Linked DNA regions of Ovis aries. The protein of the gene in region 5 purifies or fractionates together with the protein of the main gene of each other region. This does not show direct contact. Links are inferred from orthologs where the notes say so. Each region holds a gene or a part of one and is shown on either strand. Other genes may lie near its edges. The genes, in order: EXOSC9, EXOSC1, EXOSC2, EXOSC7, EXOSC10 and EXOSC3.

Region 1 (4,269 bases), on a different chromosome or scaffold from region 5:
GTAACAAATATACTGCTATTTGATGCAGTGTTGAAACAATTAGAATGTAAGTTCTCTTCTGTTAAGTCTGAAGTTCACCTCAAATTATTAGGAAAAAAATTATCAACGGCTATACTATGGATGGCTGAACAATGAAGAAAAAATGTAATTCAGGTTAAGATTTTATGGACAGAATGGGTGACAAATATCAAGACACACACACTGGCTTGGAACATTTCAGTTGTAGTAATAAATTTGGTGAATGAATCAACTTTAAGAACAATGTAATGATGTATATATAGGGCTTGACTATGTCACTGAGATTCAAGAATTTTTCCAAAGGAAAATAAAACACTGAAAGTTGTTAAAGTATAAACTTTTCTGATTTCTGAGAAGAGAAGCTGAAGAGAAGGCAGATGTTACACCATCAATTTACTTCATCACTCTCTTGTCTTGTAAATGTTTTTTTCTGTTTTCAGAAAACAAATTTCAGTATGCACATACTTCACACAGCCCTAATCATGCCACAAGTATTATAAATCTTGTTTTTACTGGAAAAAAAAAAAAAAATCACCCAGTAAAGATACACTTCTGAAGGAGGTTCAGCTTCAGAAATGATTTCTTCTGCTTTCTCTTCTACATCGGAGGTATCAATAGGGGCCTTTTCCATTTTAAATGCTGTAATCCTTTGATTTGCCATAGATTCTGCAAAGCCAAACTTTCCACCTTCTTTCCTATGTGGATTTTTTTAGGGAGTGGGGAGGGAAAGGGAGAATGAGATGGAAGAGAAGACAGGAAGGAAAAAAAGTTAACTATTTTATCCTTATGATAGATGAGAGACACTGGATGAGAAATCATTTGACTAACTTAATCTAACCCATTTATTTGGCCTATCAAGTGAGATAATAGAAAGCTACTATAATTAACCATTTATTAAACCACATGCCAAGCATGTGCTATGTGCTTGAGGTATATTATTCTCCAAACCTCAAACCAGCCCCACCAGGTAGGCAGTAACCTCCCAGACCACAGCAGACACTGAAGTGCCAAGACACACTATCGCTTAACATCACAGAATAAGAAGAGATGGGGATCAACCCTAGCTTGTGTTCTGTTAGTATAAGTTACCAGATTCTCTTTTTCCTGAGAAAATGTTATTTTAAAAAAAAAAAGAAAGAAAGAAAAGCATTGTGTGGCTTTTCAGTACAGATTATGCTTAAATGGAATGCAATACAATAAACAGTTTGATCAACTTTCAAAAACATTAAGTACTATATTCAACTGAGACTATTAGATAAGGAAAGATTTGAGTGTAAAAACTATATGGTTATGCTTGTGCAAGAAAAGTCATTAACAGAAAAATTTATAACAAGACCATTCAATTCTAAAAAAAAATAAACTTACCTAACTTTCTGGTCGTTCTCCAAAGCTTTCTGTATTAGCTCTGTAATTTCCACTACTTTCACACCAGCTATTTTACTACATCTCAAAACCTATTTATAAAAGTGAATGCTATTATTTACAGACAACAAATCAAAGAGTTTTCTTTAGCAAAACTAAAAACATAAGATTAGTTTTACCTTTGCAATTTAAGCCTTACTTTTTTTTCAAATTAGAAAATAATACAATATAAAAACACAAATTAAGGCAAGATGTAAGAGACTTTTAATTAAGGGAAGTGACCCAAAAACTTCTCTATGACAATGTAAGATACCACTAAAAAGGCCACACATACACTCACTTCCTTTCTGTGAGTGATCCCTATCTCTGCTCAAGACAGAGCTGCAAAGTGTCCCATCAGAAGCTTTCATAAAGCAGATTCCCAGGCCTCAGGGACCAGTGGATCAGAATCTCTGGAAATAACATTTACTGTATACTTAATTTATGCTACACAGTCCAAAGTATCTATATTGATCCTTACATTCTCCTAACGAGAAGGTGCTGACAGTAAGATTACTTCCTATTTTACAGATAGAGACTGAAGCACAAAAAGATGAATTAATCTGCCGAAGGTCAGTTAGTGTAAAGGCAGAGCTGGAATTCCAACCAAGTAGCCTTTGTGCTCCTAACCAGCTGCAACATGTGCTACGTGGCAATCTATTTTCTAAAAGCCCCCACGTGAACCTTATATGCAGCTGGATTTGAGAATTTCTGCCCACTGTACCCAAATCTCAAAAGTAAAATTTATACCTAAATCTACTTTATGACACTTAAAAAAAACAGGGATATAAACCCCTTTCCTCACTGGGAAGAAGAGTATTCCTCTATGTAGAGGGGCTTAGACTGGGGAGCGCCGCACACAGGGGAGGAGGGGAGGAAGGGAGGAAGGGCCCCTGGTGGCATAAGGACAACAGAGCATAAGGACAGTCATGGAACCAGAGTCTAACAGAGCCTAGGATCAGCCACGGAAAGTACCTGTTGGATTTTAGGCAAAAATCAAGAAAAAGCTTCTAAAAACATGAGACCTATTTTTAATGGAACATCAGTCAAAATACTGACTTGATCTTTTAGCAGCATTATCCCACCACTGGACTGGATGGTACAAATCTCTCGGTGCTTATTCATGGCAATCACCAGCAAGCCATCCATTACACGTTCTTCTCGTTCACTGGGATCCACCAATAAATATGTTCTGAAATGAATGTTAAGTTTACCTGAACAAATGTGACACTGAGTGCTTGTCAATTTTCTTAAACTGGATAACTGCTTGACAATACTGTGTTGGTTTCTACCATTTATCAACCATCTATCAGCCATAGGTATGCCTATGTCCCCTCCCTCCCACCTCCCAGCCCATCCCACCTCTCTAGATTGTCAGAGCACCAGATCTGAGCTCCCTGCGTCATACAGGGAGTGTCCACGGGCTGTCTAATTTTACGTATGGTTATGTTTCAAAGCCACTCTCAATTTGTTCCCTCCTCCTTCCCTGCGTCCACAAGTCTGCTGTCTGTGTCTGCATCTCCATTACTCCACTGCAAATAGGTTCATCAGTACCATCTTTCTAGATTCCATATGTATGTGTTAATATATGATATTTGCCTTTCTCTTTCTGACTTAGCTCACCCTGTATAATAGGCTCTAGGTTCATCCACCTCATTAGAACTGAGTTAACTGTTTTTCCTTTTTATGACTGAGTAATATTCCATCGTGTATATGTACCACAGCCTCTTTATCCATTCATCTCTCAATAATCATCCAGGTTGCTTCCATGTCCCGGCTATTGGAAATAGTGCTGTGATGACACTGGAGTACATGATGTCTTTTCCAATTACAGTTTTCTCAGGGTATACATATATAAATAAATAAATATATATATATGCCCAGTAGTGGGATTGCTAGGTTATGTGGTGGTTTTATTCCTCATTTTTTAAGGAAATTCCATACTACAGTAGTTGTATCAATTTGCATTCCCACCAACAGTGCAAAACAGTTCCCTTTTCTCCATACCTTTTCCAGCACTTATAGTCTTTAGATTTTTTCATGATGGCCATTCTGACTGGTGTGAGGTGATACCTCATCGTAGTTTTGATTTTCATTTCTCTGGTAATGAGAGATGTTGAGCATCTTTTCATGGGTTTATACACTATGTGTATAGTCATGAGCAACGTTGAGCATCTTTTTTTATGTGTTTATATGCCATGTGTATGTCTTCTTTGGAGAAACATCTGTTTAGATTTTCTGCCAATGTTTTGATTGTTGTTTGTTTTCTGGTATTGAGCTGAATGCTGCTGCTGCTGCTAAGTCACTTCAGTCATGTCCAACTCTGTGCAACCCCATAGATGGCAGCCCACCAGGCTGCCTGGGCGTCCCTGGGATTCTCCAGGCAAGAACAGTGGAGTGGGTTGCCATTTCCTTCTCCAATGCATGAAAGTGAAAAGTGAAAGTGAAGTCACTCAGTTGTGTCCAACTCTTCACAACCCCAAGGACTGCAGCCCACCAGGCTCCTCCGTCCATGGGATTTTCCAGGCAAGAGTCCTGAAGTGGGGTGCCACTGCCTTCTCCATTGAGCTGAATGAGCTGCTTATATATTCTGGAAATTAATCATTTGTTGGGTTTGCTACTATTTCTCCCATTCTGTGTCAGTTTTAAGATAATGGATATTTTAAAAAGATTTGTTATTGTTCAGCCAAGTCATGTCTGACATGAGCTGTAGCCTGCCCAGCTCCTCTGTTCATGGGATTTCCCAGGCAAGGATACTGGAACGGGTTGCCACTTCCTACTTCAGGGAAATCTTCTCAACCCAGGGACTGAACCCACATCTCCTGCACTGCAGGCACCTTCTTTAACACT
Region 2 (4,755 bases), on a different chromosome or scaffold from region 5:
TGCTCTCAAAGACTTTATAAAAATCTTTCATTTCTCTGCAGAAAAAGTTTCGCTTTAGATGTTCAAAAATACACCTCCTTATGACCTTCTGGTACTCCTGTTTCCCAGACAGAAATAAAAAATTACATACTGAGGAAACCAGCTCTGTGAAAGGACTACATAAGCTTGAACTTAACCACACTGATCATTATCCTAGAAATCTCTAGACCCAGCACAGTCCAGTAAAACTTTCTGTGATGATAGAAAAATTCTGTTGACCAACATGGCAACCACCATTCGCCTGTGGCTACTGACTACTTGAAATGGAGCTAGCAGAACTGAGGAAATAAATGTTAAATTTGTTTTAATTTTATTGAAATTTAAATGACGTTATGTGACTATTGGTTACCATATTGGACAGTGCAGTTCTATAAGGATCATGATTTCAACACTGGATGGTATCCTAAGCAGGGAGGTTAGGACCAACTTACCTTGCAGGTTACAATAGCTCCTACATCTGGCAGTAATTGGGACTCCGTTTCTCTCATCACAGATATGACAGGAAGCTGCAGAGAGAAAAATAAAACATGAATATTCTGGCTAAGCCTTGGATAAAGGTATTTGAGACTTGACAGTAAAATGGGAAACCTTGGGCCACAGTAGACGTCACATGGGCAGGTGGACAACAGATTCATTTGTAGCCCAGAGCAGAAAGCCTTAGAAATTTTAGGATACAGGAGGGCCAAGGGGCCACAGAAAGAAAGGTGTAAGAAGATATAATCTTACCACTTCAGATGAGTTCTGAGTTTTTTTGTGATTTTCTTAAGAGTTTTTCCACATACAACTACATTGCCTGTAATCATGGATAATTTAACTCTTTCCTCCAAAGTTACATCTTTCTTTTGGTTTGTCATTTTATTGGACAGGCTAGAATTTTCAAATAAATGTTATATAACAGTGGCCATACTTGTTTACTTCTATTTAACACTTGTAGAGTTTCCTCTTTGAGCATGGTACTGGCTATTGGTGCAGGAAAGATATTTTTGAGCCCGATCTTTTCTTAACCTTTCCCTTGTTCAATATGCTTCAGCTCTCCTGGTCTTTTTTCAGTTTCACCAATTCACGAAATTTTTTCCCATCTCAGGATCTCTTTTCAACCTGCTCTTTCTGCTCACTCACTCAACTCTTATTTATCCTTTAGATTCAGACTAAATATCACTTCTGACTAGGCTGGATTTACCTATTACATGTTCTCATGGTACTCTGTAATATTGTTTCAGAGCAGCCATCATATGTGTAAGTATACCTTCATTTGAGCATTTATTTGCTTAGTTTGTATCTGTACCCCTTGATAGCAGAGACCACATATATTTGGCTCATTATCACATCCCACAGCTATAAAATGAACAAACTTTCAAATCCTAGGGAAATTCCCCAAATTGATCAAATACAAAAGTCTCTCATTTTATAGGTAAGAACCTATAAAGGGAGTGAAAGTTTCTTACCTAAGGCAGAATTAAGGTTTAGTCAATACTGAATCCTCTTTCTACTATGCTCCCAGTTTCTAGGGCGTTCCTGGTGGCTCAGCTGATAAAGAATAATCTGCCTGCAATGTCAGAGACCTGGGTTCGATCCCTGGGTTGGAAAGATCCCCTGGAGAAGGGAATGGCTACCCACTCCAGTATTCTGGCCTGGAGAATTCCACGGACTGTATAGAGATTTGGGCTTCCCTCATAGCTCAGTCAGTAAAGAATCTGCCTGTAATGCAGGAGACCTGGGTTCAATTCCTGCGTTGGGAAGATCCCCTGGAGCAGGAAATGGCAATCCACTCCAGTATTATTGTCTGGAAAATCCTATAGACAGAGGAGCCTGGTGGGCTACAGTCCATGAGGTCTCAAGTGTCAGACACGACTTAGCGACTAAACCCATGCCCCCCACCACCTCCAGTCTTTAAGCTGCTCCTCCAAGAACTGCTTATCTGATCCCAAGCTAATAATGGATCAGCCTCTGGAACCAGGGAGAATAATATTATTCATACATTCAATAAACATCTACTGAGCATTTACCTCGCGCTACGTGCATAGTAGTGGAAGGGTCTAATGGGGAACTTATAACTGAGTGTTAAATTGCATGCTGAACTAAGTGCTTAGAAAGGGAGTAACAGCTCTTGGGACCTCCCTGGTGGTCCCATGGTTAAGACTCTGACCTTTCACTGCAGGGGGGATGGGTTCCTTCCAAGATCCTGCATGCTGCCTGGCAAAACAAACAGGCAAACTGACCCCAACAGTTCTTTGTGAGTGTTAAAACAAACAAAAAACAAAACTCCCTTTTTTGACTAGTGGTGTCTATAGGGCTTCTCTGAGAAAGTGATAACTAGTGAGGTTATCTAAAGGGTGGTGGTGGTTTAGTCGCTCAGTCGTGTCCGACTCTTGCGACCCCATGAACTGTAACCCGCCAGGTTCCTCTGTCCATGGGATTTTCCAGGCAAGAATACTGAAATGTGTTGCCATTCCCTTCTCCTGGGTCTTCCCGACCCAGGGATCGAGCCCGCGTCTCCTGCAATGGTGGTGGATTCTCTTCCGCTGAGTAGGTAGGATTTAATCGGGCTAAGGAAGAGAGGAGCGTGTTCCAGACAGACGGCGTGTGTACAAAGACTCTGTGGTCCACTGGCGATATTGAAAAAGACAGTAGGACTTCTGCAAAGAGTGAGGCGCGGGTAGCGGAGCGAAATGAAGCCAGAGAAGCAGGCGACATTCGGCCAGGATTCAGCTCACAGCACGGCTGAGCTCGCCTCCGTTCTTTCCCCAGCTTGCTTCCCGGAGGGTCAGCAACACAGCCAAGCCAGACAACACAATTAATTTGTGATGGCTAAGTGTCCAGCAGCGGGGATCCCAGCTGTCAGAAACTCAGAGACTAACTCCTTCTCCTAAACCAGGCACTAAAGACGCGCTCGTAGGACCCTGCCTAAAGACAGTGAAATCAAAGGCAGCGTAAGACAAAGAGACAGAAGAGAAGGGAAGCTGCCCCATTTACCGCGCCGTTCTCGCTGGTCTTTGTCAAGCAGCCAGCAAGCGACGAAAAGATGTAGCCGTGCCGGGTGTAGGTGCCGCTGCCCGGGCTGCCCTCCTCCAAGTTACACAGACGTTCGCCTGCGGAAAAAACGCTGCATCAGCCACGGGTCCGCTGAAGCTGTTGGTCGTCTGGCCTTCTTGCCCCTGTCTCTGCCCACGATTTGCTCTAGATACCGCTGACTTACCGGGGATGCAGTACCTCACGGGTGGCGCCATGACTGCCACTGTTCCAAATCCCGAGGAAAATGAGGCCGACCTCTCATTGGCCAATATCCAGGTGCAGTTACGCAGTAAGAAACGCGCTAATTGGTGTGCTCTATCTGTAATCTCCGGAAGCGCTTCCAGAAGACGTAAACTCCATTTCCCAGGTTGCATCGGGACGAATTCGGGGGCGGGGCTTCGGAACTCTCGCGCTTGCGCCTGTGGACAAGGATGGGCGGGCGGTGGGTCCGGGTCTGCAGGCTGGACCTGTGGGCGGTGGGCCATGGTTGGTTGGATTGAGCAGGGCCGGTGGACGCCGAGCTGGAGGGGGTGGCAGTGAGCTGCGGCGGAGGCTGCGGGGTTCGACTTGGCTGATTGAGGAATCGGCCAGCGGCAGGTAAGAGCGAAGCTGCGGCCTTTTCTGCCCAGTCCTGTCGCTTTTAATAGGGTCGGGCCCTGTTCCCGGGCCTTGTGAGCCCGAGTTCCTGCTCTGCACGGCCGTGCCCTCGAACCGGACGGAACACACCCTCCGGGCAGCCCTGAGGCGTGGAGCTGGAAGGTCACCCCAGCCAACTCGCCCATTTCACAGATTTGGAAATTCATCCCCAGGGATAGGATTAGAATTGTACAGTATCTCTAAAATCAAGATAGAGACCGAACGGGTACTCAAGTTATTTTTTACTTTCAGTCTATCATTCTTTGTTGAGAAATAAAACGTTTCCTCAGTTTCTGTAACTGCAGTCTCCAATCTTGCGGAAGCGTGCTAGTCTGGAAGGAAAGTCTGCATGAATTAGTGTTGCTTTTACTGATGATTGACACTTGCTGCTTCAGGCAGTAAACACCCTGAAAACAGCATCTTTGTTCAAATGAGTTATGTCGACTTTGTTTCCTCTGCTCTTCGGTGTCTTTGGAATCTATGTGTGTCCTCCCACCCCTAATAGCCCCCATGTCCAGTTTCCCCTTGGGAAAGAGTTGGTGACTGAGAGCCTTGGGGAGAGGAGAGTGCTGTGACCTACACTCCCCTCTGAACTGGTGGCACGTGTCACTATGTTGGTAGGACTGAGGGATCAGAGTGTTCAAGGCTTGTGTTGGGGGTGATGCTGCTGCTGCTGCTAAGTTGGTTCAGTCGTGTCTGACTCTGTGGGACCCCATAGACGGCAGCCTAGCAGGCTCCCGCGTCCCTGGGATTCTCCAGGCAAGAACACTGGAGTGGGTTGCCGCTTCCTTCTCCCATGCAGGAAAGTGAAAAGTGAAAGTAAAGTTGCTCAGTCTGTCTGACTCTTAGCTACCCCATGGATTGCAGCCTACCAGGCTCCTCCATCCATGGGATTTTCCAGGCAAGAGTACTGGAGTGGGTTGCCATTGCCTTCTCTGTTTGGAGTGATAGGGAAACTCTTATTTCCTGCCCTGTTCACTTCCATCACCACCCTTCACCCCCAACACACAGTTTTTTGAGTTCTGCTTTATCTCAGTTTCCTGAGATGAAAACTTATGTTCACTTGTG
Region 3 (4,798 bases), on a different chromosome or scaffold from region 5:
TCCCTCAGCCACTGGCTGCATGTCTCGGATCCCTTTCCTAATTCCTCCTCCCAACTCTAATGATGAATTAGAGCCTCCACTCTGAAGGCTAAGTCCTTGGGCCTCTTCTCTTTCCAGCCCACACTCACTTGGTGAGCTTACCCAAGTTGATGGCTTTAAATGCCACCGATGAGTCCACCATTCCCCTGAATTCAGGCTCTAGCTCTAGTCAACCACTGGCTACCCAGCACCTTCACTTACGTGCCTAACAGGAATCTGCGTAAGTTAGAAACCTCAAACAAAGCTTTCTAGCAGCCCCTTCAATTCCACTATAGCAAATGGATCCTCTCCCAACTGTCACCGGCCCAGGAAATAGCAACTCCACCCCTCCGGTTGCTCAAGCCACAGTCCTTGGAGTCTTTGGAGGAACCGTGTGTATCTCCCTCCTCCCCTCTCTCTCCTGCTCCAGGACAGGTCCAGCAGCAGATTCTAAGACCTCTACCTTACCAATGTAGGCAGAAAATAAAAAGCACCCCAAAGGAAGAAATAAAACGATCTCTTCTCACAGACATAGTCCTACGTGTAGAAAAGCCCACATACAAAATCCTACAGCTTTTCACAGTAAATACACGCAGAACACGAAATACACGCAGAACTGATCACTATTCCCCACTTCTATGGCTATCACCTTAGTCCAAGCCACCACCAACCGAGATGATGAGAACAGAGCAGGAATCTGGCTCCCTAACCCTGCCCCACCCCCGCCCCCAACAGCAGCCAGAGTGACTCCATTAAAACAGAGGGCGGCGGATCAGGTCCTTCTGCTCCAGGGCCTTCCTAGACCGCACAGAGTGGAAGTCAGAAACGTTTATCGTGGCTGCAGGGCATGCAGACTGCCTACCTCACCTCTCTGCATCTGCTCCTACTACTCGCCTGCTCACTCTGTTCCAACCCCACTGGCTCATGTTCTGGGGCTAACCTTTACTGAGCCCTCAAGGCAGACGGCTCTCTGTGTAAAGTACTTTATACACACTATTTCGGTGAATTCCAAGGAAAATCCTACCCAGGAGGTCAGGCAAGGTCTCATTTTGCAGGAGAGGGAACCCAAGTTTGAAGAGGTCAGATATCGTAGGGAAACCTTTGAAGCCTACCCTTACCTACAGTCATCTCTACCCTTCCTCCAGTCATGTTCCCGAAATCCCAGCCCTACAGAACGACAGGGCAGGCAGGGCTGGGGGTAGGGGGTGTGTCATGGCAGAAAAGACCTGGCTGTGCAACTCAGATGCCACAAAATACACACCTTTTGCTCTCACCTGGTTTTCAAAGCTTTTACACAGATCAACTTGTTTACTCTCTCCACAGAGCCAGCCACAGATGCAATGAGCTTCTCTTCCCCCATGTAGGTTCCATGGCCCCTGTTGCAACAGGAAGATACAAAGGATACCAGGGTAATATTTGAGGTGACCTCTAGCAGCCAGAACAATGTGTTCCTCAAATCTGATTCCTCCTGCCTCAAAGACAGGCTTTTCTGCTGGCTGCCACCTCTGCCTAAACACTCCTTCTTTAGAGTCCTACGTGGCCATCTCTTGCACTGTACTCAAGTCGACTCAAATGGCATTTTTCCACCAGGCCTTCCTCAACTCTCCCATTTGTAATAGTCACCCGCCCTGCGGCTGCCATCCCCACCATATTTCCAACTTATGCTCCACTTACCCTGCCTCACTTCTTTATTCTTTTCTACTGCATTTACCAGCAAATATTCTAAATAACTTGTTTGTTGTGCTTATTTCTCATCTGTCTGTCTCAGAACATAAAGTCCACCAGGACAGAGATTTCCTCTTTGTTCAGTTTATACCCCAACCACAAATAATATTTATGGACTGCATGAATAAAGGACTGAATCTTAAGATTTCCTGGGAACCAATAATCCCAAACTAAGAGGTTAAAGGGCAATGGAATAAACGCTGTACCTCTCTCATATGCATATGGGGGGAGGGCAGAGGCTGCCTGAGGTATGAGTAGTGTTGACCACTGTGATGGTGATAGAATGGTGAGTCTTACTTTTTTTCATAATCATTACCCCTCATGTAATCCTTCCCTGGTGGCTCAGACAGTAAAGAACCTGCCTGCAATGCCAGAGACCTGGGTTGGATCCCTGGGTGGTGAAGATCCCTGGAGAAGGGAATGCAACCCACTCCAGTATTCTAGCCTGGAGAATTCTATGGACAGAGGAATCTAGCGGGCTACAGTTCACCGGGTGGTAAAGGGTCGGACATGACTGAGGGACTAACTCTTCCACACTTTCACTTTCATGGAATCCTCACCATTCTCTGGAATAGTTATTTTACAGACGAGGAAACTGACCTCGGAGAGGTGATACAGCTAATATTGTGACGGCAGCAGGACCGGAACCCCAGCTGCCCTTAAGCTGGAGCCTGCCCTCAGACTCAAAGTTACCTATTCTGGTGCATGTAACATAATATATTTGCATGCCCCCTAAGCCCAAAATGGCAACCCACTCCAGTATTCTTGCCTGGAAAATACCATTGACGGAGGAGCCCGGTAGGCTACAGTCCATGCGGTCGCAAAGAGTCGGACACGACTGAGCGACTTCACTTTCTTTAAGCCCAAGCAATGGCTCGTTCCAAAACCGTGCCCCTGGCTAGGAGACGGAATGCTGAGGGCTAAGTGGAAGAAGTCAAAAACGCCCACCATCCCTTCCGCCGAAACCTGTGAGGAGGCCCTAGCTGCAGGTTCAACGAGGAAGGCCTCAGAATCGGGGCCTGAGGCACAGGACCCACGAGTCACAGCTACCAGTGATCGGGACAGGAAGGTTTCGGGGGAGCTGAGGCAGCTACAGACGGGGACATACAAGAAGCAGGAAGTAGGAAGTCCGAAGCCTCGAAAACGAGGCAACTGAGATGCTCCCAGATGCGCCCCGGGTACCGCGAGCACTTAGATGCAGAACACAGGCCCAGGTTTGATGCGGAAAGAGAGCAATGCAGCCGCCCCTGCCGCCCAGTGTCCCCACAACCCCACGTACCGCATGAAGCCTGTGTCCGTGGTGATCGTGTCCCCTGGCACCACTAGGTGCTTTTTACTCTCGCGGCCCAGGCTCTCGCTAAGAGGCTTCCGAGCGACGGGAAGCCTCATCTCCAACGCCATCTTGGCGCCAATAACTCGCGCAGGCGCAGCCCCACTCGGAGTCACGCTTTCCGTCTCCGCAATTTCCAGCCGTCGCTCATAGGGGCGGGGCCTCAGAACAGCCGCCAACGGGAACTCACGGTCTGGCCTCCATGTTGGCTACTGGCAACCATTAGGTTAACACGAAGGGAAGGAAGGAGTCAAGTTGCCATTTTTACTATTGGCAAGGCTGCTCTTGTCAAATAATAAAATCTCAGGTTGCATAGCGTTCGACTTTTCAGCAAAACTCTTGTGCTCATCTCACTTACTGTTTTCCAGGGTTATAAATAATTGTGAAGTGGGCCTCTGAGTTTCCTTCCAATTCAAAGCTGCTGAAATCTCTCTTCTTTGGTATGCGATTGACCAGGAGGATCAAGAGGAGAAAACACTATTTGGACAGAGGAAAGAGTCTCTTTTCGTACTGTTACTAGTAGCCCCTGTATTCTACATTACTGTCACTTCGTGAGTGCTAGTTCAGCACCAACCATCATCTACACCCCCAAACAGTGCTGCAGGTGCTGTTTCCATTCTTTCTTAAGCGAGCTGATTTCCCTGGTATTTCTTTTGGAAAAAGCAAGAAGCCGTCTAAGAACACATTTAAATCTTGCCAAGCGGGTATGTTTTGTCAGGGAGGACAAATGGACACAATACAAAGATTTTCGCGTACATTTACTCACACAGTGAAATGAGCCAGGAGCTGTCCTAAGGGTTCAGTGATGAACAGATGGAAGGATATGTGGTTTTATCTAGGCGTCAGGAGTATTTCGCTTGTCCCTCTCCCCAGGTGCTACCCTCTCCCTCACCCTTGGCCCTGCATGCTTTATAGCATTCGCAACAGACTTAGTTTCAACCTCAGGGAATTGGAGGTGATAATTCTTCATGCAGGCTTCCCAGGTAGCGCTAGTGGTAAAGAACCTGCCTGCCAATGCAGGAAACATAAGAGACACGAGTTCAATCCCTGGGTCGGAAAGATCCCCTGGAGGAGGGTACGGCAACCCACTTCAGTATTCTTGCCTGGAGAATCCCATGGACAGAGGGGCCTGGTGGGCTATGGTCTGTGGAGTCTCAGAGTCGGGAGTCGCAGAGTCAGGCAAGACTAAAGTGACTTAGCACAGCACAGCCCAGTACAGGGATTCTAAATAGGATGAAATAAAATAACTTGCATCAGCACCACTCACTGAGACCAGTAAATTAAGTCTGTTTTCTCCTGAAGACCCATCAGACCAATAGCCTGGTAAATCTTCAAAAGGATAGCATTTCTTTCACCTAAGCGTGGCTCACAACTACATTTGTCTAGAAAGCCAACCCTGTAAGGTAGTCAGTTATATAGATTCTAATTGCTCACAGGTCATCAGTAAGTGGACAGCCAGACACTTGCCCTCCTCCTTGCCTGGAGAAGGGGCTCAGTTCAGTTCAGTTCAGTCGCTCAGTCATGTCTGACTCTTTGTGACCCCATGGACTTCAGCATGCCAAGCCTCCCTGTCCATCACTATCTCCTGGAGTTTATTCAACCTCATCTCCATTGAGTCGGTGATGCCATCCAACCATCTCATAAGACAGAGGACAGAGGAGAAGGGGCTAGAGCCAAGAAAAGTATGAGAAAGGGTGCATCCGTTGAGTCTGCTCTCGACCAGAA
Region 4 (4,938 bases), on a different chromosome or scaffold from region 5:
GCCATTGACCTTGTTAGGGGAAACACTGGCAGAAACCACCTGCCCTGGCCAGACCATTAAGGTTCCTATAATAACCATTTGCAGGAGATATGTTATCTTACAACAGGACATCCTGGTAAAGAATGCGGAACTAATAAGCTACTGCTATCTTTTCCTTTTGGGAAAAGTCAAAAGGAGAGAGGGGATGCCAGTCCATACATACTACTAACGTCCCAGAATCCTCCTTGCTGGAATCCACCTTGGCTGAGTGATGTGTGCGCCACCAGGAAGGATGCTGCGTCAGGACGACTGGCCAGAGGCAGCCCAGAAACTAACTTCATCACCGTGAAACCCGAGGCTGCGAGCTGCACAGCAGAGTAGTTCTCCCGGGTTCCCTCACCCTGCTGCTCTCCACTTGGGTGCCCCTTCCCAATAAAGTCTCTTGCTTTGTCAGCACGTGTGTCTCCTTGGACAATTCATTTCCAAGTGTTAGACAACAGCCTACTCACTGGCCCTGAAAGGGGTCCCCCTTTCTACAAACTCCTCAGGCAGAGCGGCAAAGATTTCTACAGCAGACTCCAGGCAGGCTGGACCAAGCCAGTGGCTGGTCCAAGGTCCAATGTCTAGTGACTGCATCAAAATCTCCCAACATTTATGAAAATACCCATTCCCAGGCTCCAGCCCCAGCCCCAGCCCCAAGGATTCTGATCCAGAAGATCCAGGTAAAGCCCAGGAAGCTGTATTTTGTGAGTAAAAGGCACTTCCAAGGTCTCAGAATTACTGGGCTAAGACAGAAGTTAGCAATGTCTTTCCAGGGAGGAAGAAAGCACACATTTAGCCAGTTAAGCAAACCTGAAAAGAAGATTAAATGCTAATTCTGGAAATTCTGAAACCTGCCCCCAATTCCTGAATATAAGAACCAGCTTGGGACTTCCCTTGTGGTCCAGTGGTTAAGACTCTGTGCTCCCAATGCAGGGGGCCTGGGTTGGATCCTAGTCAGGGAACTAAAATCCCACAGGTCTCAAATAAAGATCTCAGATGCTGCAACAAAGACTGACGATCCCTCAGCTGAGACCCAGCATAGCCACGTAAACAAAATACTTAAAAAACAAAACCAGTCAGATACAAGTAAGTAAAACAAGAGTTGTACAAAAAAATGCTAACTAGGGTTCTAAAGAAGCTTAGAACCAACGTGGGAAAAACATTACCTAAAAAGGTAATAGTAATATATGTCCATATACTATTTAAGGCCTAGAAAAATGCGGCGGGGGTGGGGGTCAGAACTTGCCCTCCCTGCTCCTGTTTTGCCGACGCGCTTTCAGAGGACAGAGCAAAGAAAGAGAAGTGGAAGCCGTGGGCATTCTCCCTGGCTTTTATTTCTGGGTGCCTATTTTTAAAAAGGGAAAATAGCACAAGGCTTGAGCTGGGCTTTACAGTCAGATCTGGATTTATATCCCAGTTCCACTGTACAAAGAGAGGGTGGGGGGTTCCGGAAAAAGGCAACCAGGCATGCATGGCTTTCTGGACACAAGGGAAGCCATTTTAGTCCTCAGCCTTTTTGTGATCTACTCCTGGCCACAATGCTTGCCCTTGAACATGTCACGGTAATTAATCATCTTGAGGGAACTACAGAATTCAGGAAAAAATGGAAAAGCAACGAAGAAACAACAGTTCTCAGATAAAACGGAGCCCTAGTTTTTCTTCAATGGATATACTTAACAGTTTGATACGAACCTTCGAGTTGTTCTACAAGAACTCAGGGGCCCACTCAGCTGAAGGATGGTAACTCCAGGATAAGACCCCAACGTGGCCACAACCTGAAGATGGTGTTGCCCTTCTCTTCCCCATGGTGAAGTGAAGCAAAGTGACAGTCGCTTATTCGTGTCTGACTCTTTATGACCCCATGGACCATACAGTCCATGGAATTCTCCAGGCCAGAATACTGAAGCCATTCCCTTCTCCAGGGAATCTTCCCAACCCAGGGATCGAACCCAGGTCTCCTGCACTGTAGGTGGATCGTTTAGTAGCTGAGCCACCAGGGAAGCCGTCCCCTTGGTGACTCCAATCAACTAAGGCCTGGACTCCGCTGACCTCTGCCCCGACTTTAGGCCTCCTCCTCTGCTCAAGCCCCTTCATGACTATACACGTGCCCTTAGCCTGTTTTCCAGTTTTGCTATTGGTAGACATTGCTTCTGAAAAGATTCCCAGAGTCCCCTTGCTGCTAAGTCGCTTCAGTCGTGTCCGACTGTGCGACCCCATAGACGGTAGCCCACCAGGCTCCCCCGTTCCTGGGATTCTCCAGGCAAGAACACTGGAGTGGGTTGCCATTTCCTTCTCCAATGCATGAAAGTGAGAAGTGAAAGTGAAGTAGCTCAGCCCTGTCAGACTCTTAGCGACCCCATGGACTGTAGCCCACCAGGCTCCTCTGCCCATGGGATTTTCCAGGCAAGAGTACTGGAGTGGGGTGCCATTGCCTCCTCCGAAAGTCCCCTTACTTGATGCAATTAATAAATTCCTCCTTCTCCCATTCTCTGGCTTGGTTGTGTTTTTTGGTTCAACATCCAAGGGTCAACCCCGGAGAAGCGACGGCTACCCACTCGAGTATTCTGGCCTGGAGAATTCCAGGAACTGAATAGTCCATGGGGTCGCAAAGAGTCGGACAGGACTGAGCGACTTTCACGACCAAGAGTCAAACCCCAGTTTTGCGGTAATACCACCACACACTTACCTTACGACCTCAGACAACTGACTTAACCTCTCTGACTTAGTTCCTTATATGTAAAGCAGACATAACACTCACCTTCAGGACTTAACAAAAATTCAATGAGATTAAAAACTATGACAGAGCATGTATCTAACAAAAGTGAGACAGCTCAGCCTTCAAAGGCTGAGAGGGGATTTAACAGAATCAGGGACTGCCCACCGCGTCCTACCCGAGCTTGGAACCTTGTAGACCCGGAAAGATCCAAGTACGCATACAGTCTTAAACGGATGCTCGCCGCCTGGTCCCAAAGACGCCTGCACGGGCGGCTTTAGAGCTGCACATGCCGGCCGCATAGCGGTCTAATCAAAGGTAAACCCAGCCTGCCGCAGTCTTTCCGGGCAAGCCGAGGCCCGGCATCGACCCGCAGGGCCAAGGGAACCCGGAGGCCGGCGCCAGTACTGCCCGCTGCCGCTACCTGAACGCCATGCACAATGTACACCTTCTCCGCCTCGCTCAGCGCCACCGACGCCATGCTGCCGAGCCTTCCCCGCCGCTTGACGTCATCCGCCCGCGTCGCCCCCCGCCAGGCACAACCCCCCCTCCCATGCGTCATCAGCCTGCGCGGCGGCCGCTCCTGCAGCTGCCGCCGCCACCACCGCCGGGGAGCTCGATGGGCTTCTCCTGCGCGCCGCCCTGTGTCTGGCCGAGTCCAGGGAGCCGCGGCGCCTCGTTCCTGGGAGCCATCGCTGCAGCCCAGGGCCGGGTCCCGGGTCGGGGGCTGAAAGGGGAGCGACGACGGCAGCGGCAGCCGGAGCCCCACCGAGGGGGCTGGGACTGGGGAACTGCCTCTGGCTTCACGGTCAGTCGGGTGAGGAAACTGGGATCCGGCGAGAAAGCTGGGGCGAGGCGCCAGGCGCGGGCCGGGGCCGGAGCTCGAAGGGGTAGCGGTGGAAGAGGCGTGCGGCGCAGTTTGCTCAGAGCTGGAGTTGAAGTAGCCGGTCGTGTGCGTGCGTGTGTGTGAAGAAAGAGACCGACCCCAAGTGAGAGGTGGCGGACGTCGCGATTGGCCTGAGAGAGGCTGTCTCTTGGCTCTCCTTCCTGCCCTCATGTCATGTATTTCTCTGGCCCATGGGATGGTGGGGAGGAAAGAAGCGATCAAGCCCTCTTTAGGTCGTTCTCGGTGATAAGGATCTGGCCGGGAGTGAATGCCCTTCTAGTCCCGAGACGTCTTCAACTGCACCCCATGGATTCCCCCACCCCCCCACCCCCGCTCTCTCTGGGGCTGGCTGACCGAACGCTGACCCCCGCCCCGGAACCTTGCAGGATCCCCATGTCCCGGATGGTTGCCGGAGCTTTGTCCCAAAGAGAGTAGAAGGGAGAGTCTTGGTCAGCGCTGGCGGGGGGGGTTGCGGGGGCGCAGTGCCCCGGCGTCCCCAGCGCTTCCCAGCAGGGACTGGAAGCCCTGGCTTGACCGGGTGATCGCTGGGAACCGTGGACAAAAAAAAAGAAATGCCGGCCCCAGTCGTGACCAAGTAGGAATATGGGCCTTGAATATCCAGAAAGGATACCTGCAAGGTGAACGTGGGGTCACTGAAGGAGCCCATTAAGGCGGGGTTGATAAGGCAGGAAACAGATTTTAAAGGGGCCACGTAGATAAATGGAGGAAAGTTAACCCAGAAGGATAGTAGCAACGAGGGGATCTGATGATTTTTCCAAGTGCCCCACTTTTGAGGAACCTCCCTGTTGTCAGAAGTGAAACTAACCCTTGACTGCTTGATCCTCCAAAGAATGGTTGGTGTCTCAGATAGTAGCCTCAATACAGTTTCACAGATAACTCTTGGGAGCCTACTGTTGATGGGCTTTGTGCTAGCTTTGAGACACTGAGACAAGTGAAACACAGCTTCTGCCCAGAGAAGCTCCCAGGCAGAGGGAAGGCTCCAGACCCAGCATAAACGTGGGGGTGAACAGCTGTGACAGTGGCACCGGTGAACATAGTGGGACCGGGAGGTTGTATACCCTCTGAAGAGGGTATGGAGAGGACGTACCTGCCCACATTCTGAAGCCCTAAGCTGCCGAGCCCCCAAATAAATCATCTCTTCTTAGTGGACTGGACCTTTCGTTGTTTCCGGTCTCTCTGTAACTCTCTGCAGGTGTACCTATAGGGAGGATGTCTTGCAGTGTTGAATTCTGCCCTCCAGGAGACTTGGAGAGGTAAACCCAGAAGGGTTTCCTCCTTCATGAAAGTACAGGTGCCC
Region 5 (4,269 bases):
AGGCAGCCCCACCCCCAGGACGTGCCAGGGGCCTCTTCGTTACCGTCGGTTGGGATGAGAAGGTAGCCATCTGACGGGGTATGGGAGCAGTCATGTGGGCCAAAGAGAACATTCTCCAATCTCTGTATCAAAAAGAAGGCAACAGGCCGGCGTGAAGGACCTGCAGGCAGGCAGCAGCTCTGCGACTAGATGACAGGCCCTGGTGTCTGTCAAGGAGGCTGGGTCTGTCCAGGCTGTGACTGGTTCCCCCTCCCTCCCTCCCTCTGAAAAAGCCACAACGAACATATCACGGTACCTCAGGGTTGGGCAGCGGCCCACTCTTCCTCACTCCCGCTGCGACTTCAGACTACAGAGTCAAAACAGACAGGGTGTCAGGAAAGTTCCCTAAATGTGATGACGCACTCGTTCTCTTTTTTTCCCTCAGTGCACACGTGTCTCTTCACTAGACGGTGTTTCTCAAGAGCCCGAGACTTTCTCTCATCCCTTCACCCCGTCTAGTGCCTGGCACTGTAATTACTTGTGCTCAGTAATTATTTGTTGGATGAAAGAATAAAACCCTTTATCACAGTGAGGCACAATACAGGATTCCAAAGAGTTTGAGAAAGATTTTTGTCTAGTCACTGGTGTTTTGCTCTTTACTGGGCAATGTATGGAGTCAAGAAAGAAATATTGGCGTGAAGACATTAAATGTGCTTATCCTCAGATTCTCTTCTTTTTTACCTCAAAGGGGCTGATTTCAAGTCGCCTGTGATCAATAATCTTTCAAAAAATTACAAACATGTTTTACACATGCTAATATTATTACTGAGACAAAACATTAAAAACGGTGCCAAATAAAACACAAATCGAAACATGCATATCCTTCTGAACACCCTCTCTCCCACCCCATAGCAAGGGCAGAATAAATGTTTGTATGGATTAAAAACAAAACAAAGTACACACACATGTAAACCTACACATAAGCTTGTGTAGACATACTGTTAACATCTACACAAGAACACAGGTGTGTTGGTATGTACGGGTTTGTATTACGGGCTGGGCATCCTGCTTTCACCTAAATCTGCCTAAACTTTAGCATCTTCTTCACAGTTAGCTCTTTCTGAATTCCCTTCTCTCCGGGGTGCTCCTGTTTCTTATCACCTCGGCTTTCTTGTGTGGAGTGAGTGGTCCTTGACTCCACTTCCATTATCTTCAACTCTACTTGCCATTCAGAGAACACCTCTAAAGTACTTAGCATGGTGCTCAGAAAAGAACCGCAGCCACTGTCACCACCTGTTATGAAGTCCCATCAGTCTTTGCTTTTGAAGGTGTTTCCTGAACCTGTCTTTTCCCTTCCATTCCTGTGACTGACACACTCATCAGGGCTCTTATCATCTCACTTTGGACTACTGCCAGGCTTCCAAAATGCAGTCTCTGTGCTGAGATCCCCACTCCAGTTTACCCTGCAAGGCTGACTGCCTCGGGACAACAGCTAACCAGCCCATCATCAGACATCATGAGACATCACGGGCCCTTGGATTAATAAAGACAAGGTTGCAGAGAAAGAAGGATGAGGGTTTCCCTGGTGGCTCAGTGGTATAGAATCTGTCTGCTAATGTAGGAGACGTGGGTTTAATCCCTGGTCTGAGAAGACCCCACATGCTGTGGAGCAACGAAGTTCGTGTGCCGCAACCGTGGAGCCTGTGCTCTAGAGCCCGGGAACTGCAACTTCTGAGCCCAAGTTCTGCAACTACTGAAGCCTGCGTGCCTTAGAGCCTGTGCTTGGCAGCAAGAGAAGCCACTGCAATGAGAAGCCTGCATGCTGCAATGAAGATTAGCTCCTATTTGCCGCAAATACAGCAACGATGCTCCAGCACAGCCAAAAATAAATAAATAGTTTTTTTTAAAGAAGGATGAACTTTAGCTTCTGACTATCATAAAGACACACCCACTGGATTTCCTAAATCCTATTATTTCCTCCAGCTTTTTTTTTCAGAATGGAGACGACTCACGTGTGAAGGAGATTATACGGAGCAAGATGCCAGCAGACAGAGCTGAGAATCTCTGGAGTTGGGGAGCTTCTTACCTTGAGCAGAGGCATCTCTCGCGCCTGCTGAATCAGAAGGTGCATTTCGTTGATCTGCTGCCGTACGAGAGGAGGCACGGGGTTACAGCAAGCAATGATGCCCTGAGGTTCCCTGAAGGAAGAGAACACATTCAACATTGCCCAGAAGCTCGGCCCACAAAGGCTACAGGGAAGAACAACAACGCGGTGAAGCCAGAGTGTAGGTGCTCAGGTGAGAACTGAGGGAACACGGTCTGTCAGGGTGGCCCCACTGGCTGTTCCAAGATGTGTTCTCTGCTGCACTCAGCCCTGAGCAGACGCCTCCTACTGCTGCCTGCTGCTCTCAGGGTGGGCTGGAACGCAGCCCCACAGCTCTGCTCACCTGCAACCCTGCAAGGAGGTGCCAGGTGATGCTGAGTTTGGTTCTTTGCTTATACTCCAATTAACATCATAAGACATCTAAAATCATGAGACACCTTAATCCAGAAGGAGGTACAGATGAAAGAGTCTGAGACATTTTCTCTCCTTTAAAGTGGATGCTCCAGGCTCAGAGACTTACACGCTGAGGCTGCTGTTAAGTCACTCAGTTGTGTCCAACTCTTTTGTGACCCCCATGGACTGTAGCCCACCAGGCTCCTCTGTCCATGGGATTTTCCAGGCAAGAATACTGGAGTGGGTTGCCATTTCCTCCTCCAGGGGATCTTCCCTACCCAGGGATCGAACCCATGTCTCCTGCATTGGCAAGCGGATTCTTTACCGCTGAGACACCTGGGAAGCCCAGAGACTTACATGGGAGTCCATATAAGGGATAAACATGGAAATAGCTCCAGTTCAGAAGCTCTGCTTCCTAAATGGCAGTGCACGGGCAGAGATTCTGCATTTCTTGGACTTGCTAACTTCCTCAGAGCACTAATCTGCTCTGAGTAAACAGCCCTGAGGTAACAACAATCAGGGAAGCTGGATCTGAAAGACAGCACTTTCTCTACTGAGGAAGTCGGAGCACATTAATCAGTCCTCACTCACTTGGGCAGCTCCTCAGCTATCTTTAGCATCATGTGGTTTGGCAGGACGTATCTGGAATAAAACACACAACAGGATCCCATTAAATTCTGCCGACAAGCTCCATGATGTGCTGTAACCCTGGGAAAACATAATCAACTTTCATGGTGAAGAGAGTTGAAAAAGCCCATTATTTCCTTGTCACCACACCTAGCAAGAATGAAAGGGATTGATAGTCCTTACCCGTAACTCTCATCTTCCCGACGAGCTGTTTTATCCCTCCAGGCAAACAGCAGCTGAAAGGCCGTCAACTGCTGTGTGTTCAGATGCTTCTTCTGCTTCCTATAGAGTTCCAGGTAAGATTCATCTGTGAAGATGGGTTTGATGAATTTCTGCAAAATATTAAAGAATGCTCAAGATAAGTGGGAATCAGTACTGTGTCCTGGGCTCTTCAGGACACTGGGCTCTTTCATGAACGTAAACCACAAGGAAGACGAGCACCGCCACAGCCACTGAGCCGGTGTGCCTAGAGTCCATGCTCTACAACGAGAAGCCACTACAGCGAGGAGCCCACAAACCCCAGCTAGAGAGTTGGCCCCACTTGTGCAACCAGAGAAAGCCTGTGTGTAGCAACAAAGACCTAGTGCAGCCAAAATAAATTAACTCATTAAAAAAGTTTTTAAAAATAAATAAAAGAGCAAAGCAGAGCACAGGGACCCAAGTGGAACCTGGGCCCGGGCTGTACCTTGAGGCAGATGTCGCGACTGCGCTGCCACACCACCTGCAGCTGTGTGGGCTGCTCGTTGCCGCGCTCCCACAGCTCCAGCCGCATCTTATCATAGATGTACAGCAGGTAGTGAGTGTCATCTCGGGCATAGCTCAGCATTTCCTCAGGCAGAGGTCTAGGATTGCAACAGAGAACGCTGTTTCACTGGTTTCCCCTGAGGTGGCAATTTGACTCGTCTACCCTGTGGGTTCCTGCTGAAGTCCAAGAGTCTCCCCTGGCCAATACTACAGCCCCACCAGATTCTCAGGCATCCTCATGGGACAAGCCGCTCTTTCCACAACTGGGCAGAAGGGGCAGCAGGGCAACGATGTGGTTAAAAATCAGGGCCCTGCCTTGGGTGTGAATCCTATCCCATTGCATGGCATGTGGCAATGGTCAGGTAAAAGGAAGTGGTTTTCAGCTTTTATCAATTCTCATCTTATAGTTCTTTACTAAATTC
Region 6 (4,898 bases), on a different chromosome or scaffold from region 5:
AAGTGACTTTAAAAAGCAGACCATCCTGTCCAATCACACCCATTCCATTGGCTCGTCCACAGCTGTCAATACAGACCATCTCTGGTTCCATATCTTTATTAGCAACCACAAATTGGCCATAGATGAGATCTCCGACCTACAATGATAATTAAAAAACATCAGTATATTGGCTGTTTTCAATAGGCATCAACGCCACTCATCTGCAATTCTGTGGCTAAATGACGGACTACACTCCAGGATTCTCACAGTCCCGCTGGAGTTGCGTCCTAAAAGAAGGCAAATTAAAGCCTGTACCCTCACCCTTCCCTTCACAGAAAATCCCCAGACTGGGAGCCTCAGCAAAGCCAGAGGGTACCCACTGGGGTTACACTGTCAAGTACAGTAGCCACTACTCACATGTAGTTGTTTAAACTTACATTTAATTAAAACGATGTACTTAAAATGCAATTTTTCAGTTGCATTAGCCATATTTGAAATGCTCAATAGCCATGTGTGACTTAGTGGCTCCCATAATACTCAGTGCATGTAAAACACTAGCATCACCACAAAGTTTTATTGCACAGCACTGCTTTAGGGGATTACAGAAGAAACAACCCCTGGCATGCAAATTATTCAAAGCAAAACAGAATATTAGTAATTCATTGACTGTTCTCCATACAATAATTACTTTAAAAGCCTCAAAAGTTGAACTTCAAAATGACACCAACTATGGAAATGAAGAGTAAACTTGTTTCATTAAGTACCAACAACTGCTGGTGACTCAGGAACTAGAAAGAACATTCTCTGCCTTTTAGAGCATTTACTTTCAGAGGGCAGTGGAGATATATATGTAAACAAACTTCATTCACAGCTGAATCCAGTAAGAAAAATGACTGAAAATTAGGGGTGTTTTTACAGAGGGTTAGTGGTGCTCAGCCTGGGTCTTGAAAGACCAGAATGTGTTCCACAGGTTGAGAAGAGGATAAAGCAATCCAGACAGAGGGAACAGCATAAACAAAGGTACAGGAGCAGAGATTATGAATTCAGTGGTGCTCTTAAATAGTTCAGTGTAATTCAGGCAGGGCCACATGGAGATATAATTATGGATGAGAGAAGACCTCTGGAAATAGTAACATGTAGGCTTTGAAGAACTTTTTCTTTTGCAGAAAGGGGTATGAGAGGCTGTCAGCTCTTAAAAGCCTGGATGAAGGGGCAGAGGTGTACAGGCAGGATGTTACTAAGGAGGTCACTGACTTAAAGTCCGATCAAGAGACAGCCAAGGCCTGAACTTGCAAAGTGGAGATAAAGGGGTGCACATGTGGCAAATCAGAGAGACTCAACATGAAGGATGAGTGAGAAAAGGCAAAGAAACCTCCAAATTTCTGGCTTGGATGGACAGGAAGAGTGGCCATGCTACCTGAAAAGCCCAAGCTGAAACTTGAAGTAGCAAGACGACTACTGTCAGCTGCAAAATGGGACTGTTGGGAAACAGTGATGTAACTGAAGCTGTGAGATACAAGTCCCGGGACCCACATCCAGAAAAGACGGATGAGTGTATGGCAATTTCCACCACTGTTCCTTCCTCCCCAAGCCTCTGGCTTACTTCTTGTCCAGTGTATATGGATATAACAAATAACAGATATAACCTTTCAGCAGAGATGAAAATATCCCCCAACATAGCAAATGTAAACTAAGTATGTGGCTTTGGTCCCAGAGGTGGAGCATCTGAAAGAACTCTTGAAGCCTGGAGTGATTACAAAGATGCTCCAAGATCACCCAATAGCACTAGGAAAATAAGACAGTTCCGGTAGCCTTCTGGATATATGACTGTTTAGGAAATGGATATTTGCTACTTTTGAAACCAAAGGTCCTGTTGTTACCTGCACATTAGGTCTGTTTCTTTTAGTGGCACCTTCAAATGCCAAGTAAGACAGGGAAGCTGGCTCACTCCCTCCAACATCAACCTTGAATATGTCTCCAGACTTAGCTGTCACTATGCCAATCACATGGTCTCCTTTCACCGGGACATACTACAAAAAATGAGAGAACCACCATACATGACAATCATTTTTCAGACATCTTCAACAAGTCCTCAGCGGTTGTTATGTTTGTAATTTAAATATTTAGAAAATATTATAAAATCCATGTTTACAAATCAATACAAACCTTACAACAAACCTGATCATATGTCACTCTCCCTTAAAAGAAAACCAATCACATGATAAACTCTCAGATTTCCAGCTTCTAACAGTGTTCATTTAAGTGTATCATCTTATCTCTTCTGAATTCTTATCAGAAACTCCCTAGAGTTGGTTTGCAAGAGTTCAGTGATACAGGGGGAGAAGGCAATAGCAACCCACTCCAGTAGTCTTGCCTGGAAAATCTCATGGACGGAGGAACCTGGTAGCCTGCAGTCCCTGGGATCCCTAGAAGTCGGACACGACTAAGCGACTTCACTTTCACTTTCATGCATTGGAGAAGGAAATGGCAACCCACTCCAGTATTCTTGCTAGGAGAATCCCAGGGACGGAGGAGCCTGGTAGGCTGCCGTCTTTGGGGTCGCACAGAGTCGGACACGACTGAAGCCACTTAGCAGCAGCAGTGATACAAGGGTCCCCACAACCAAGCAAGGTCATTCTGTTGTTAGTTTCTTCCTATGTGAAATTTCTTATTTATTCTAAGAGAAACAACTCCCTGTGACATCCACTCATTGAACTTGAGTCTTTGGAACACCGAAAGGCAAGTCTGCTGCTCCCTGACCTATAAGGTTTTGAAGACAATGACCACGCCTCAGTCTTCATCCTCTTATGTGCCCTTATATTCCCCAGGGTCTTTTCTCGCCTGGTCGCCCATCTAGGGCCACGTTCCAGTTGTTCACGGTCCCTCTAAAGGAGTTGTAGAAGTAAGCACAAAGACTCCAGCGGCTCTTCTCTAGCCTTATCAGAGGAAGGCTCCAGGGCCCCTTCCGTGCTTCCGAAGAGTATCCTCAGCCTTCTCCCAGCCGGACAACCCCTCCAGAGTCCCAGCTTACCCGCTTCTGCTGCGAGTCCACCCAGTAAACGCCACCACCGCTGCCACTGCCGGGTTCCTTGTGACGGAGCCGGCCGCACTTGGTGACCAGCAGTCGGTCGCCGCAGCGCCGCAAGCCTGGGCCGCACACGACGCGTCCCCGGGAGCGCGCTGCGGCGTTTAGGCGCAGCGGTCGCTCCCCTGCACCTCCTGAGCCTTCTCCGTCCTCCTGATCTGGCAGCAGCAGCTCTTCGCCCGGCAGCACCACTTGATCTAGCACCGTCCGCGCTGCCCGCGCCCTGCAGCCAGCCAGGGACTCCGCTGCAACACCCGCTACTTCAGCCATCGCGGGCGTCACTATACAGTTTCCGGCTTCCGGCTCTGCGTCCAATCGCCAGCTCGCCCAAGACTTTCCGTTTCCGGCAGCACAGGCTTGTGGGATTTGAACCTGTTTTCAAAGTCCGATCGCTCTGGATTAGCGGGTTCCCTCAAGATGGCTATGATCGTGTCTTTAGCTGGCCGCCCATCCAGCAGTCTGTTCGCAGGTCCGCAGGAGAAACGCTAGCTTGAGTCAGTTGCGGAGCCTCCTCCCCCGGTGTCTGAGATGCACAGTGGGGTATGAGACCCCAGCATCTTTCATTTCGTGGAAACCCTGGGAACTGAGCAGGCCTTCGGGAGTTGGCTCTGTCTTCTGACTCTACGTGCTGAGGGACCGCTAATCTTTTACCAGGAAGAGTATTCAGTATTTTCTTTTGCATAGGAAACTTTTATCTATTCACGTTGTGGAAGACCAGAGAAGAATAGAAAGAAAATGAAAAGCATTAGTTTTGCTCCCTGTTTGTCTTTATGCTAGGCTGTCAGATAGTTCTCACTTTTTTTCTTCGAGCGCAGGTCCTGGCACGAAATAAATAATACTTGGTGAATGAATGAATGAAAATGAATGTTGACATTTTGGTTTGCGTTTCCTTCCCACCTCCCCCGAAAATATTTACATATCACTTGCATATTTCCATATAACTAAGCTTCCCCTCCACGGCCTGGGAAAATCAGAAATTGCAGTTAAATCTTTGCTGCTGTTTTCCTTGGAGCACGCTTTAGTTGCCCAGGTGAAGAGCAGCTGAATTGCAAATCAATAGCACATTGGGTCTCCCCTTCTGACTTTCAAGGCTCTCACTTGAAATACCAGGTGGTCTGGTATTCCCATCTCTTTCAGAATTTCCCACAGTTTATTGTGATCCACACAGTCAAAGGCTTTGGCATAGTCAATAAAGCAGAAATAGATGTTTTTCTGGAACTCTCTTGCTTTTTCCATGATCCAGGAGATGTTGGCAATTTGATCTCTGGTTCCTCTGCCTTTTCTAAAACTAGCTTGAACATCAGGAAGTTCACGGTTCAAATATTGCTAAAGCCTGGCTTGGAGAATTTTGAGCATTACGTTACTAGCATGTGAGATGAGTGCAATTGTGTGGTAGTTGGAGCATTCTTTGGCATTGCCTTTCTTTGGGATTGGAATGAACACTGACCTTTTCTAGTCCTGTGGCCACTGCTGAGTTTTCCAAATTTGCTGGCATATTGAGTGTAGCACTTTCACAGCATCATCTTTCAGGATTTGAAATAGCTCAATTGAATGCCATCTCCTCCACTAGCTTTGTTCGTAGCGATGCTTTCTAAGGCCCACTTGACTTCACATTCCAGGATGTCTGGCTCTAGATGAGTGATCACATCATCATGATTATCTGGGTCGTGAAGATCTTTTTTGTACAGTTCTTCTGTGTATTCTTGCCACCTCTTCTTAATATCTTCTGCTTCTGTTAGGTCCATACCATTTCTGTGGTTTATCGAGCCCATCTTTGCATGAAATGTTCCCTTGGTATCTCTAATTTTCTTGGAGAGATCTCTAGTCTTTCCCA

Evidence for each region.
Region 1: the proteins of EXOSC10 (region 5) and EXOSC9 purify together in Homo sapiens (co-immunoprecipitation; 7 studies listed by BioGRID and IntAct, with this or other methods). This does not show direct contact. The link is inferred for Ovis aries from reciprocal best matches to the Homo sapiens genes EXOSC10 and EXOSC9.
Region 2: the proteins of EXOSC10 (region 5) and EXOSC1 purify together in Homo sapiens (co-immunoprecipitation; 8 studies listed by BioGRID and IntAct, counting the BioPlex papers as one, with this or other methods). This does not show direct contact. The link is inferred for Ovis aries from reciprocal best matches to the Homo sapiens genes EXOSC10 and EXOSC1.
Region 3: the proteins of EXOSC10 (region 5) and EXOSC2 fractionate together in Homo sapiens (co-fractionation; 9 studies listed by BioGRID and IntAct, with this or other methods). This does not show direct contact. The link is inferred for Ovis aries from reciprocal best matches to the Homo sapiens genes EXOSC10 and EXOSC2.
Region 4: the proteins of EXOSC10 (region 5) and EXOSC7 purify together in Homo sapiens (affinity purification with mass spectrometry; 6 studies listed by BioGRID and IntAct, counting the BioPlex papers as one, with this or other methods). This does not show direct contact. The link is inferred for Ovis aries from reciprocal best matches to the Homo sapiens genes EXOSC10 and EXOSC7.
Region 6: the proteins of EXOSC10 (region 5) and EXOSC3 purify together in Homo sapiens (affinity purification with mass spectrometry; 8 studies listed by BioGRID and IntAct, counting the BioPlex papers as one, with this or other methods). This does not show direct contact. The link is inferred for Ovis aries from reciprocal best matches to the Homo sapiens genes EXOSC10 and EXOSC3.

What each region holds. Positions count from the first base shown.
Region 1 is NC_056059.1:3,761,339-3,765,607, forward strand, and holds part of EXOSC9 (exosome complex component RRP45), read right to left. Parts: intron 2,612-4,269; coding exon 2,479-2,611; intron 1,473-2,478; coding exon 1,384-1,472; intron 714-1,383; coding exon 567-713; intron 1-566. UniProt on the Homo sapiens protein: Non-catalytic component of the RNA exosome complex which has 3'->5' exoribonuclease activity and participates in a multitude of cellular RNA processing and degradation events.
Region 2 is NC_056075.1:18,489,263-18,494,017, forward strand, and holds the start of EXOSC1 (exosome complex component CSL4), read right to left. Parts: upstream 3,298-4,755; 5' UTR 3,267-3,297; coding exon 3,236-3,266; intron 3,129-3,235; coding exon 3,013-3,128; intron 546-3,012; coding exon 471-545; intron 1-470. UniProt on the Homo sapiens protein: Non-catalytic component of the RNA exosome complex which has 3'->5' exoribonuclease activity and participates in a multitude of cellular RNA processing and degradation events.
Region 3 is NC_056056.1:5,933,394-5,938,191, forward strand, and holds the start of EXOSC2 (exosome complex component RRP4), read right to left. Parts: upstream 3,162-4,798; 5' UTR 3,145-3,161; coding exon 3,023-3,144; intron 1,395-3,022; coding exon 1,293-1,394; intron 1-1,292. UniProt on the Homo sapiens protein: Non-catalytic component of the RNA exosome complex which has 3'->5' exoribonuclease activity and participates in a multitude of cellular RNA processing and degradation events.
Region 4 is NC_056072.1:54,175,836-54,180,773, forward strand, and holds the start of EXOSC7 (exosome complex component RRP42), read right to left. Parts: upstream 3,250-4,938; 5' UTR 3,216-3,249; coding exon 3,159-3,215; exon of another isoform or gene 2,913-3,158; intron 1-2,912. UniProt on the Homo sapiens protein: Non-catalytic component of the RNA exosome complex which has 3'->5' exoribonuclease activity and participates in a multitude of cellular RNA processing and degradation events.
Region 5 is NC_056065.1:41,798,109-41,802,377, reverse strand, and holds part of EXOSC10 (exosome component 10), read right to left. Parts: intron 3,946-4,269; coding exon 3,789-3,945; intron 3,436-3,788; coding exon 3,287-3,435; intron 3,119-3,286; coding exon 3,068-3,118; intron 2,178-3,067; coding exon 2,066-2,177; intron 347-2,065; coding exon 296-346; intron 123-295; coding exon 44-122; intron 1-43. UniProt on the Homo sapiens protein: Catalytic component of the RNA exosome complex which has 3'->5' exoribonuclease activity and participates in a multitude of cellular RNA processing and degradation events.
Region 6 is NC_056055.1:50,986,931-50,991,828, reverse strand, and holds the start of EXOSC3 (exosome complex component RRP40), read right to left. Parts: upstream 3,350-4,898; 5' UTR 3,335-3,349; coding exon 3,011-3,334; intron 2,010-3,010; coding exon 1,860-2,009; intron 137-1,859; coding exon 1-136. UniProt on the Homo sapiens protein: Non-catalytic component of the RNA exosome complex which has 3'->5' exoribonuclease activity and participates in a multitude of cellular RNA processing and degradation events.